Drosophila melanogaster: one gene and its partner. The protein of the gene in region 1 interacts with the protein of each later gene in a pairwise test. Each region holds a gene or a part of one and is shown on either strand. Other genes may lie near its edges.

The links. The genes of interacting proteins can lie anywhere in the genome.
Region 2: the proteins of E5 (region 1) and Rcd-1r interact in a two-hybrid assay, tested with the Drosophila melanogaster proteins (one large-scale study listed by BioGRID).

Annotation. Positions count from the first base shown.
Region 1 is NT_033777.3:13,870,389-13,878,380, reverse strand, and holds the start of E5 (E5), read left to right. Parts: upstream 1-3,464; 5' UTR 3,465-3,784; intron 3,785-4,127; 5' UTR 4,128-4,201; coding exon 4,202-5,081; intron 5,082-7,992.
Region 2 is NT_033779.5:9,012,385-9,017,521, forward strand, and holds Rcd-1r (Rcd-1 related), read right to left. Parts: upstream 1,685-5,137; 5' UTR 1,539-1,684; coding exon 666-1,538; 3' UTR 501-665; downstream 1-500. Other genes in the region: CG13102 (uncharacterized protein), read left to right, coding at 1-177, 242-459.

The DNA of each region.
Region 1 (7,992 bases):
ACGATTGAGTGAAGGAAACCCTTTCGATTGGCCGTGGAAATTTTTAATTAAATCAGTGCCCATGGCCGCAGCCGAAAATGCTCAATTATTAAAACAAATAAAGCCAATTAGCTGTGTCAACACGAAGCGCTGTTCGCTGCTAGATGTGGTGGTGGAAACTCCTGGCTGGCCAACCCTGGTGGCCATTATCCATTCGCTAAACATCCATCTCCGTCGCCAACCCCCAGCTGTCACTTAAGCCCCCCATTCCCTTCTCGATCGTCACGAGAAGTTGTTTTAATTGACACTGAAAAGCCGTCGCCATCATCGCACATCAGATTTCCCAACAACGGATTCATCAGCACCGTGGGCTTCCATTTGCGAGTCCAATAAAAACGCTAACGAGGCGAGGGTGCTCACAGATACTCAGATACTCTGCATGTATGTCTAAGATATTGTATCTGTATCTATAAATCGGGCAGATGGACAAGCGTAGGAGGGTTATCGCAGAACAATTAATTTCCAACCAATAATTGCGAGTTGAATAGGGGATAGGAAAACTGGTAAAAATATGCCCATAAAGCAATATGTCCATAAATGACAATAAATAATGCTAAAACATAAATGTTTTTTTACAATTTCATAAATTATTTGAATACTTTTGGATATCCAGATGCGTAAAGTTCGAGTACTTTTTACACTGAATCCAAATAGTACATTTTAAAAACTAAGATGATGCTAAATATATAATGGCCCTTGTGGAAATGTATAGATAGTAACATTATATTTAGCCTGTGTGAATGAGACCGGGTGACCCAGCCAACCATATACAGTACAGTACAGCCTGCCCACAAAGAAACCCCTTGTTAAAAACCCACCTCCTTGTGAAAATCCCCCCTTGTTGGAAACTGGCAAAGCCGTGCAAAGTACTCGTGATAATGAGCTCCATCTCGTTGGCAATTATTAAATGAAGTGGATTTATACGCTGTGGCCCCCTCCCCTTTCGACAATCGCCCCTGCCAACACCCATCCCGCTCACTCCAACGGAACAAAGCGTCCAACCCCTTGTTAGCAGCTGCTAATACTGTTGTCCCGTTCTCTCGCACACAGATACTGCTTGCAGCCAATCAACGCCAGTTGTTGGTTTATCTCGCTCAGTGGCTGTGGAACATGGAAACGTCTTGTGGATTGCATTTCCACATGCAGAGAGACTGGGGCAGAAAAACACCAGTGTGAAGTGGTCTATGGAAGAAGGTGCTTCCACTGGAAGAACCTAATTTTAGTCGACTTTAATTAGTTTGCTGAAATGCTAAGTAAACCTTATTCGAAGAACATTATAATTGTTACTGGACAGTCATTAAAGGATAAACCGAAGCTTAATTGTAAAGCAAATTAGGCGCTTTGTTTCTTCTCTTTATGTATGTTTATTTAATGTAAATAATGTTAGTAAATGTTTGTTGAATTATACAAAGTAAATTCAACGAAAAGATGTGTAACATATAAATTGATTAATTTTAAAATCCATTTTCATTTAACAGATATGCTTATCGTATTTGTTCGAACTAAAACCTGAGTTACACAAGAATTAAACAAATGTATCTCAAATATATAATTTTACATCTACCGAGAAAAAGGCCCTAGAACTTGCATCGCGTTTCGCGAACTGATAATGCAGGCATTTGCTGCATTTTATCTTTTTGTGGGCCCTCCTTCTGGTCATATATCAAGTGCGGTAAATGCCAAAAAATACGCCCACAAAATCATTGATTGCCGATCGATAACCTTTTGCGGTGATGGAGCATCCCATAAAGTTCTCGTCCCAGCTCATTGTCTGACTAATTAAATGATTTATCCCGAATCGTGAGGCAGAGGAGCTGGAAAGGAGATGGGAAAGAGTAAAAACCAATTACAATTACCGCACCCAGAGGTGCCACACTCACAGATATAGATATATGTATACGTGTATACATGAGTGCATCTGCGGCAGCAAAGCTGCTGCCCCACCGACAAGCAACGGCCTTATCTAGATGCATACAAATCCAGCCAAGCGCACGTCAATTTATTTGCCAACTCTCGCCTCCTTTCTGGCCAACATCCATATCCATTCATGGCCAAAAGGAGGAGAATCGCATGTATTTACCTATGAGAAGGCTGCGAAGTTGGCGCTGCATGTTTTATGCCTCCTCCTGCATCTTTAACGAGGTGTTTATTTTCACAACTCACAGCCAGCGGATGAGGATGCGGATAGGGATGGGGATGGGAATGGGGATGGGGATGGGTATACAGATACTCGGATGACCACGCACAGATACAGATGCAGATACGTTCCCTTCCCAGCACGCTGTATCTGTATCTGTGAGATTCGCGCAGTTGCAGCTCGCCGAAGGTGTAGAAACCAAGTTACCGCCCATTTTCGTGTCCAAATGCTTTTGGCCAACATGATGCAGATGCCAATTCAGAATGGTAGAATGGCCAAGCGGCGGGGGGAGGGAAAGTGGTTTATAGCCAGCACTGACGACGGGGCGTCTAAGCTATATAAGCGATGACGTTGATTCCACTGCACAGTGGTATCGGCTCGATATCCTTTGAAAAATGCGTATTTTCTACTTTTGAGTTATGTACAAATTTGAACACTTTTTAATATCGATTTTCCAGTAGATAGTAAATAATTTAATACATGAAAACAATTTAAAAACGGTTACTGATGAAAGATAAACGTTTAAGCCTTAAATATTTCAATGAATAAATACAATTCAATTAAATAAAGTTTCAATTTTTTTTTATTGTTAGTATTTGCATAATTAAAAGAGGGCACAGTTCGCTTTTCAATTTTAAATGTTATATTTATTATATTTATTTTTAATCATCGAAGACCTACTTCCTATCCACTGTTCGGGTGCACCACCCCCGTTCCCCCTCCTACGCTCCAACAAACTGGCCAACCCGCTTGGCACTAAAACCACAAACGCTTTAATGATGCTGTTTTGTTTAGCGCAAATTGTTTGTTTCGCTGTCATAAACTGGTGCGAAAAATGGCCAAGAGAGCGACAGAGAGAGAGAGAAAAAGAGAGAGATTGGGGCCCCTCACACACCCACACACCAACAAGCCCAGAGAGCGGGAGAGCGAGCGAGAGAGGAGGTGGCTCCACTTGGAGCCAAGCAGGTTTTCGGAATATCCACTGAACTATTGTTGCGCTGCTTTGGCGCACGCGCACCGAGCCACGTGTGCGAGCGAGACGCCAGCAGTATTGCTGCGCTGGAAGTACAAGCAAAGGAAGAAGAAGCACACTCGAACTGGCCCCACAAACTTTTTGCGGCTTTTTCCAACGCGACACTCGAGCTAAAACGCTCAGCGTGAGAGCCACGCAGCGATTCGCCGACGCCCCCGCCAAAAATCAGGACAGAAAGAGAGAAAGCGAGAGAGAGACAGAGGTTGCGAGCGGCGAAGTGGAGCCAACAATTAGACGCCTTTAGACGCTCCATAATGCTAATGGCGTTGACAGTGCTCATCATCATCGCAGCGCGGCCACCGCAATCGTTTCGTTACCGGGTAGCCGGCATAACCGTTAACCGTTAACTGATACCGCCACCGCCACCGTCAATCGCCAATAGTCAATCGCCAACCATCAATCGCCGCCGTCAATCGTCCAGCGAAGCGGTACGGTCACGCTCCAATCGCCGCGTTGCCGCCGCTCCAGTTACAGTTACAGTTTATCAATGTCACGCCGACGGATGCCAACCGCTGGAGCATCGCAGATACAACGCTACGTAGCTATATAGCTATAGCTATCTGATCGGAAAAACAGTGCGTGTGTGCTTATCTGATATCTAGTAACCATTAACCGATGTACGCGATCATGTTTCCATAGCACCAACCCATTTATTGGGAGCTTCGATCAGTACAACCCTTTTTCCGTTTCCGTTTCTATTCAGTTCAATTCCATTTCAATTTCCATTCCCTTTGATTTTAGTAGGATTTTTACCGTTTTATTTTATTCCTAAAACTTTTAGTTGAGCATTATTCTTTTATTTACTGATTTATCCCGTTCGAAAATACAAAATTTTTTTTTTCAAAAAAGTCAAATATGGAATGGAAAAAATGGAATTTAAGGCCTACAAGTGTTCTTATAATCTACTTCGACTTGCAGAGACTTCGAATCGGGAAGTTTAAGAGGAGGGAAAGTGATTCATTTGTTTTTCCAATCAACGAAACCCCTACCAAATGGTCACCTGCGGCCGGCAAACGTTCAACATGCTGCCCATGGCGCCGACGAGTCCTTTTGTGAGCAGCAGCTCCTCGGTGGCCGCATCCTCGACTTCCGTTTCCGCCAGCAGTACCGTTTCCGCCTCCGCGAGCAGCAAGCCCAAGCTGGCCTTCAGCATCGACTCGATTGTGGGCGAATCCTCGACGAGATCGGCTCCACTAAGGGTCAGTGTGATATCTTCGCCGCCGCCGCGCAGCGAAAGTCCCGCTTCGCCAACGAACACGAACAACAGTGGGCGCCGGACGCCCAGGGGCTATATCTACTGCCGCAGAAGGGATTCGCTGGATCGATCGCGCAGTCCTCAGAGATCACCGGTTAGCCGGTCGCCATCGCCCCCCAATGCAGGAGGCAATCCGGCAGCGGCCGGGAATACTGCAAAGTCCGGGGATCCATCGTCGGGAACGGGAAATCCTCCAACCCTCATCCGTCCGTTGCCTCTGCCGGCGCCAAATCTAGCTTTAATTGGGAACCGCACCTCACCGAACGCCATGGCGGTGCGCATGGCGGGTCCGCCCCACCCGCCGTCGCAGCCACCGCCGTTCCTTGCCGCCCAGTTCCAAATGGCTGCTGCACTGGCTCATCATCACCAGCAGCAACAGCAGCAGCAACAACAGCAACTTCCGCCCGTGCCAACTGGACCGCCACATGGTCCACATCCGCATCTGCCGCCCGGCCAAATTCCACTTGGAATCTTTCCCGGCGGACCGCATCCCGGGCATCCTCCGCCCCACGGACACCATCCGTTCGGGAGTGCGCCGCATCTGATCCGGGATAGCTATCCGTTGTATCCATGGTTGCTCAGCCGACACGGACGCATTTTTCCACGATTCCCAGGCAGTAAGTAATCACACTGTTTTAAATATATCTATTGTTTATTACAATATTTTCAATAAGTTCAGAGTTCAGAGAAGCTAACCGGTTTAGCAAGCGGTACTTTCATATGTATATAAAACCGCTAAAAATTATTTCTATAAATTGAAAAATATAATTTTTATGCATAATCATCTAAGCTAACAATTATTTGTAATAAATTTACTGCAAAATTAATAACAGTTTATATAACAATAATACATATCATTTAATTTAATATTTACCCTATTCTGATAATAAGAGTACATCTCTCTTTTACGGATTATTAGAAAGATAGTTGTTACATATATATTTTTCATATTTGAACATTAGAATATTATGATAGTTTACGGTCGGTTTCTTCTTCTGGAGATAGCAACCACCCCTTTTGTTGGTTATTTTTCGCTATAACGAGTTTTCCGCATTCATTATAGCCGTTTCAAATGGCCGCTGAGTGTTGCGAGCGACAGAGAAAAAGAAACCACACCTTAAGTCATATTCGAAGCCCAGCACCATTATAGTAGAGAGGACCCCAATCAAGCAATTATTCAGTTATCGCTGTTGTTGCCGCGCAGCTCCATATAATTAAAGTTAAATAAGCAAATGGCAAACATTTATTACAAGTTAATTAGACGTGTATCGGGCTCATCATCATCAGAGGGAGCGGGACGGAGAATGGGAGCGAACAGGAAGGGGGGAATGTGGAGGGAACCGAACCCATTTTGATAACTATTTCCAAACAAATTACATTTTAATTAAATTGTTTAAACAACATTACACACATCGTTAGGTCAAGCAGCGTACCTAAATGGCCAGCCAAGTGTGTGAGTGTGTGTTTAGCATTTATTTGCTCTATTTATACTTTTTCTCTTCACTCGAAATTACCATTAATGGCCAACAGACGGCGCCAGTTACTCATGCGGCGGGCCCATGCGGCGTATGTGTAACGTACGAAAAGTGCAACCATTGAAATGTTAATGCGTTTTTAATTGAGGTTTTGGGGCAACCAAGCAAAGAACCGAGAGGAATGGTAAAAAAAAAAAACTGGCAGATAGAAGCGAAGAGCCACCGCAAAGCGCATCTCAAAAACATTGTCATTTATTACGGTTTAACCACTTTTTTCTACCATTCCGCTGCTCTCATGATTACCATTTGAATTTCCAGGCCATGTTGGTATCCATGTTTTTTTTCGGCCGGTTAAATATAATAATAATTTTCGGCACACTCACACGCCTTTCACCTGCTTAAGTGTACATGTATCCCCGTTACGCCTTAATTATGTTGTACTCCGTTTCATTATTTTCTCCCTTTCTACTTGTTTTCCCATTTCCCGCCGCTCCTTCTCTTTTTTCTCACTTTTCTCCGCGCCGCCTGTAATTTTCGCTTGATTTATGAACGTGAAATGTCAATGTTTCGCATAACGATTTCATTAATTGTAAATGTTTTTCATCTCCGTTTGTTTTGTAACTCGTGTGAGTAATACCAGGTTACATGGGTTTGTTTTTCTTCCATTTTTTCCCGATCTGGAGTAAGATAATGGGGATCATCGCGATAGCGACGGTGATGATACGTCAGTAACTCAATTCAGCTTGCACGTGCTGCAATTTCTGGGTGTTGCCCTCTAATGCAGCCGTTGAAGTTCTGGGAAAACGGGTTAAATTAACAAGGCTGAGATCCTTATTATGGAGGGCTTAAATAGAGGGCACTGTAATTGGACAAGCTGCTTCGGGATTCCCATTCTAAAGGCTTACGAGTTAGCAGCTAACAATTAGTATACCTCATAAATATGTATCGTTAGAAATCGAATTTACGCATTAGAATATTTAAGTTGTATTCCTTAGTATCACTGCTCTATTTTATTGGTATCTTATGTAAATCATTTTTCAAAAAGAAGTATGTATGTATTTATACTCCACAGCATAAAACTGTAAAATCAAGTTTTTAAGTAGTGTTTTACCTTTTACTTCGCCCATTTATAAAATTGCACATTTCAGTAGTACATTGTTCAAACCCATTATCCCAACAAACCCACAAAATTCCATTCATACATCCCGACTGCAAATGGCCATTCCCGTCAAATCGATCATCACAACACATCATCCCCGTCTGTCATTCATTTGATTTCAATTATCGATTCCGAGTCAATGTCCTCGTACGCGGGACATGCGAGGAATGCAATAAATTAATGAAAAAATCATGAGAGCATAAAAATTAAGCCCTAACTCGGTAAAAAAGAAAGCAAACACAATTGCACATAAGTGATAAATAATAGGGCGCACAAAAAGGCCAGGACAGTCGAACAAACGAAATCGAAACGAAACGATCCGGCACTTCCATCATGGGCTAAAAAATAAGGTACACTCGAATCTCTATATATACAAAAAATGACAGCTGACAAGGGTGTGAGCCACTGCAAAAAAAAAAAAACAAAAACCATAAAAAACAACAACTTGGCCAGCAGAGCGGACACATCAATTAATTGTCAATTGCGCGTATTTTCGCACGGCGGTTTCCTTTGTGTCCACAAAGCTGGAGGAAAAAAAGGAAAAAGTGGGAAAAACTACACACACACTTCATTGAGAGCTGCTGCAGAGCTAGAAAAAATAATTAAGTGGCCATTGTGAGCGGCGGCATTATCAATTATACAGCCTCTTCTAAGATACAGTCGTGTATCTTGTATCTTGCAGCTACATTGTTAGCTGTCAAATGTAACAAATGTCAAGCGATCGTGGGCTATATAAAAAAAAAAGAAGAAGCCGAACTAGATCACTCTGGATGCTACCTCCTGGCAATCGTTTGTCAAGTTCATAGCAAAAACCAGGCACGCAGTCAGTCCGCCGAGTCAGTTGCATCTGTCAGATACGTGGATACATGGCCATCAATGGTGCGAGGCTGCATT
Region 2 (5,137 bases), on another chromosome or scaffold:
CTGATTCCCTGAAGTGTTACACCTGCGTAACGCCAAAGGACTGCAAGAGTCCCAAGAAAGTCACCTGCACGAATGCGGCTGCGAATGAGACTAGTTACTACCTGGGTGTCTATCATCAGAATGTTGGCAACCTAACCAGCACGCGATTCGATTGCCTGGCTCTGAAGTACAACTGGAGTGAGTAGCGTGGGGACCCCAGAAGCGGACTATAAAGATTTATTAACTACTTTCCACTTGCCAGATAACGATGTGATCCATCAGCTCCATGGCTGTGTGCATCCAAATGTTGGAGCCTGCAGCTTAGCACTTAAGCCGGCCTATGCTCACTACAATAAGACCTGGTGTCTCACCTGTTCGGGCGACAAGTGCAACAAGAATCCGGCCGGAAAGATGAGCAGCAGCACTATTGCCATCGCGTCTAGCGTTCTGGGTCTCTTGCTGGTCAAGATGTATGCCTAGTGTGACTATTAATAAATATGAGCTAGGAGCTATGATATTTTATATTTGATATTTTTTATTGTACCGTCAATTTTAGTAATATCATAATTTCATTTGTAGATTATGTAGGCCATGTTTATTCGGTCGAGCAGTTAACTAGGAGTGGGTATCACTAATCGATGGCGCTTGAATGGACGGTGGAGTGACGAAAGTTGTTGGGCGCTTCTCTAGGAGGAGCCCATTGGGTTGACGGCGTTTGTCTGCAGGTTCTTGAGCAGCATCTGCAGCCACTGCTTGGTGCACGTGTCATGTTGCACGAGCGACGTGAAGGTGCCGTCACGCAGCAGATCCGGCAGACACACTCTAAGTGCACTGCGAGCGCGCGCATTTTCCGTAAGTAGTAGATAGCAGCGCACCACATGCTTCAGCACCCGGAGGCATGGAAACTTCAACATATGGATGACCATTTTGCCCAGGGTGATGGCCACCTGCGAGAAGCGATCGTGGTTCTCGCAAATGTACGTCAGACCCATCTCATCGAGCAGTATCTTCTCAAGGATTGAAGTGGCCGCGATCTTGGTCAGCTTCGATCCCCTGACCATATTGGTCAGACAGTGAGGCACGACCTCGCTCCATATCAGGAAGATGAGGACCTCCGTATCACCGGTCTCGGCCAGAGCATTAATCACGCCCAGCGTGGTCAGGCGCAGCTGCTCGAAGGGCCTGCTCTTGAACGTGGTCGACAAGAAGGGGTACAAGTACATCGGTATCTGGTCCCGCAGGAAGGCCGGGCGAGTCTCCGGATGCGAGGCGACGCACTGTAGCAAAGTCAGGGCGTAGCACACGCGGTTCGACTGGTTGGCCTTCAAAACGGGCGTCGTTATTATGGGGTATATGTTGACGATCTCCTGCAGCAGGGTGCAGGTGGTACCGACGCTTTTCCACAGCATGGGGGCCAGGTCCGCATAGGTGTTCTTGCTCAGCTCCAGCAGAGCGGTCTCCCGCGTGGCAGGATAGGCCAGCTCGATGATCAACTGGTACACCTTCTCCCGCTCGGCCTGCTGCTGGGGACTCATTACCGGACTTGGTTCCGCACTCATCGCAAAGCTGGTTTTTTTTCGCGTTAGCTTGCAAAGATCTAGTAGCTTGGAAAGATCTGGCTCCGGAATTTCGACGGACGATTGAGAAACGTGGTTTCGAGTTGGCGTCTATTGTGGTTATCGATATAAGCTTCAAGCGAGAAAGGACCGAAAGCACGTGGCCGAACAATGTGGCCAGAGCCGAGGAACGCACGAATGCCATAAATTAATAAATAATTTCTTGTTCGAATGTCTCCCAGAATTTTGTTTCTTATCACCATTGATTTGATTGGCAGCTTGGAATTCGTCTGGAAATTCACGTTTTCTCTATATTTTACAAGTATTAATCGGTAGATGATTAAAATTTATGATTCTATTAAGTATGTCATAGCATAGCTTAGCTCTCTGAAATGGCCAGACTAATTGCGCATCTGATGGAGGTCCGATTTATGGCTTAATGACCATTAAGTACTTTTGGACACCAGTTTTAGAATTAATGAATTCGTATTGACAAATACTATAAATCAAAAATCATTCTAGCACACACAAATATTTGCCTTTAAAATTTTCAAATATTTTATCTCGCATTTAACCCATTAAACAGATGGATGCTTGGAATAGTTGTCCATTTCTGGAATTACTTGCCAATACAGAAATGGTTAACAGAAAATGTATTCTTTGCCACATCGTGCAACATTTCAATTTTGTTTGTTGCAGAGAGCTTTAAAAATTTCAGTCCGTCACATAAATTGGCCAACTATCCCAGAGAAAATCGGAGATTCGAACGAGCCGAGAAACAAGAATAAATCTTTAATAGTGTTGCCGTCTGCCTAAAAGTCAATCTCACTTTTGCATGCCGAACATTATCCGGTGGGTCATGTTATGGTTATCGTGGCTCGGTTTGTTTGGAGCTGCATTCAGGCATTTAATTGATTGATTGTTGCTCGTCTATGTCTGCATCGATTTGGCCGTGTTCACGCCCCTTTCACCCTTTCACCGAGCCGCCTCCAAAATCCCGTTACAGCGTCCCCTTTTTCGGATGTTTCATAACCAAAGCGGAAGGGATCCATGCCGCCCATCATATCGTGCACGGTTATCAAATCGACTTCCAGGCTATATCCTCGCATACATGCATATGTGGTCCACGTTGTTCCTGCTGCCAATTAGTGTTGGTGCGTCATCTGTGTGGCTGTGTGAGTGTTCATGTATGTATGCGTGTGTGCACGTCATCAATTAATTTTTGTATTGTTACTTTTTTTTTTTTTGACTGGTTTTTTGCAGCCCTCGGTGGGTTACGTGGGGAATACCCCTGTTGACTGATTGGTTTCTTTTCGATTCAATTGTTTCATGTGTGCCTCGGAATGGGAATGGATGTGTTTGCTAAACAAAGTTATGACTATGGTCACGGCTATAGCAGCTGGCTCAGGACTAGCTATACAATACTATAGTTTTACTATAGGCAAGCTTAAGAAGTTATTGTTCCCTCGAGATATGCGAATCAAAACGAGTGTCACTAAGAAATTATAGTTGTTAACAATGGAAAGTCAACACTTATGATACAATTCTTATCTGTCTTGCCTTAACCAATAACTGTAACAGTCTTAAATACTTGAATACAAACTACTGCTTACATTTGAGACCTACCCAGATTCAAAAATCAAACATCCGCACCACCAGGAATATTCTTACTTTCCCCTTATCTGTGCTCCAAATCCACCCTCGATATCCGAAACTTGTTGGGAACTCCCGGAAACTAAATTAAGTTTAGCTTCAACTACAATATGTACATTTGATTTATGCATTGAGAGACCATGGAGCAACCTGCCCGAGACCCCAGAAAATTTCCTCCTGCGAAAACGAAGACGGGAACCCTCTGATAACTAAGCCAAACCTATTCAACTTTCACGTTCGCATTGTTTGCACGAGCACGAAAAGTTATTAAGATGCATAGACGTGATTTTGCATGTTTTAAAAAAGAATACATAATGCCACAGATGAGACGGGGGAGCAAAGGACGTGGTATTAGTTGGGGGGAAGCTGGGATCTTGACTTGCACTTTAAGTACTTTTAATTTACCAAACAAATTTCCATTCTTCGCGACGACCGAAAATGTTGCATTCGAGAGGCCAAAAGAGGCCCGAAACTTGTCTCACACCGCAAAGACAAACTCATTGACATGCCTGAGACAGGAATTGAATTAAAAGTTTTCGTCCTTCTGCGCGGAAATAGAATAACGAGTAGAAGTTTCATTGTTGGGCTTTTGGAAAAAAAGTTTGCTGCATTTAAATTGATTTGTAATTCGCGGTTAATTTGGTTTTTTTCAGCTCCTTCTTTGGTTACTTTTATCAATTTTACATTGTTAGTTTTGGACCCTTCTATGCGATTAAATTATTATTTTAATTCGACACGGAATGCCTGACAGATATTTCAATTTCCCTTTGTATTTAGTTTTTACTGAAAAAATGCTGCAAATTAAATATGTATGTATTATCATTTTAAATTGTCGCAAAATGTCTGCGGTATTGCTTGATGCTTTGTGAATTTTCGGTATGTAAATCAAAGAAAGGCAATTTGAATAATGATGCTGCAATCTGAATTAAATTTTGACATGCCGATATTAAAGACCAAATAAGCAATTCAATATTTTGCATAAATTTCGAATTGCTTTATGATTTGCGTTATGTCCATGATAGCATGAGCATTTAATTTTCAATGAATAAATGGACCTGTTTGAATTATTCACATTTCCCATTAATTTTCCTACGCAAATGATTAAGATGGAAATTTAAATTCTATTATGACGGCATAAATATTGCAGTTAAGTAAATTGTTTTAACAATCTGATTGAATTTACCGTACAAATTTTTTGTTAAAACGCGTTACAAATCGATGCTATAGTTAATATTACAGAACAGAACAATTAAAAAAGTCCTACAATTAAAAACAGCGAAAGTGTTGCCAAAAATCAGCACAAGGACAAAACACACTGCAAGCTCATAAATCGAAAAAAATCAACATTTAACAAATAAATCAAATCCAAATACAAGTAGACAAAATTTACACATTCGTTTGGTATTTTTAGAATTTTCCGCACATACATTATCAATTGGTTATATACAAATAGACATCATATAAATTCGAAGAATTCATAATTTATGTGAATCAGCCAATGTGTAAACACCAAGAACTCGTAAATAAAAACGAAAATGCCAACAAAATAAGTGGCACAAAATCTGGTTTAGTGCAGCCTAAAAGGCCTCGGCTCCAAAAACTCCTCGAAAGTGTTTGACAATTATTATTGTAATATTTGCCTAAAACGTTTATCACATTGTCGTAAAATGTACTATAACGAACTGCGAAAGGATTGGATTTGGGGTTTTGTTGAGAGATTAGCAAATGGCTTGGTGTTTCTATCTGTCCAATGTAACTAAGCTTAGCATTGTTTTTGGGCTGGCTTTTGGTTTGGGACTTGTTTGTAAGTAATTAGAAAGATATTTGGCTTATATGCTGGTGATTTTGTGTTGACCCAACAACTTTATTATTATGCTAATAATGATGTGAGGACCGAGGCAAGTTTAAGCTAATCACTTTCAGATCATGTGTGTGCTAAGGATGTGTCA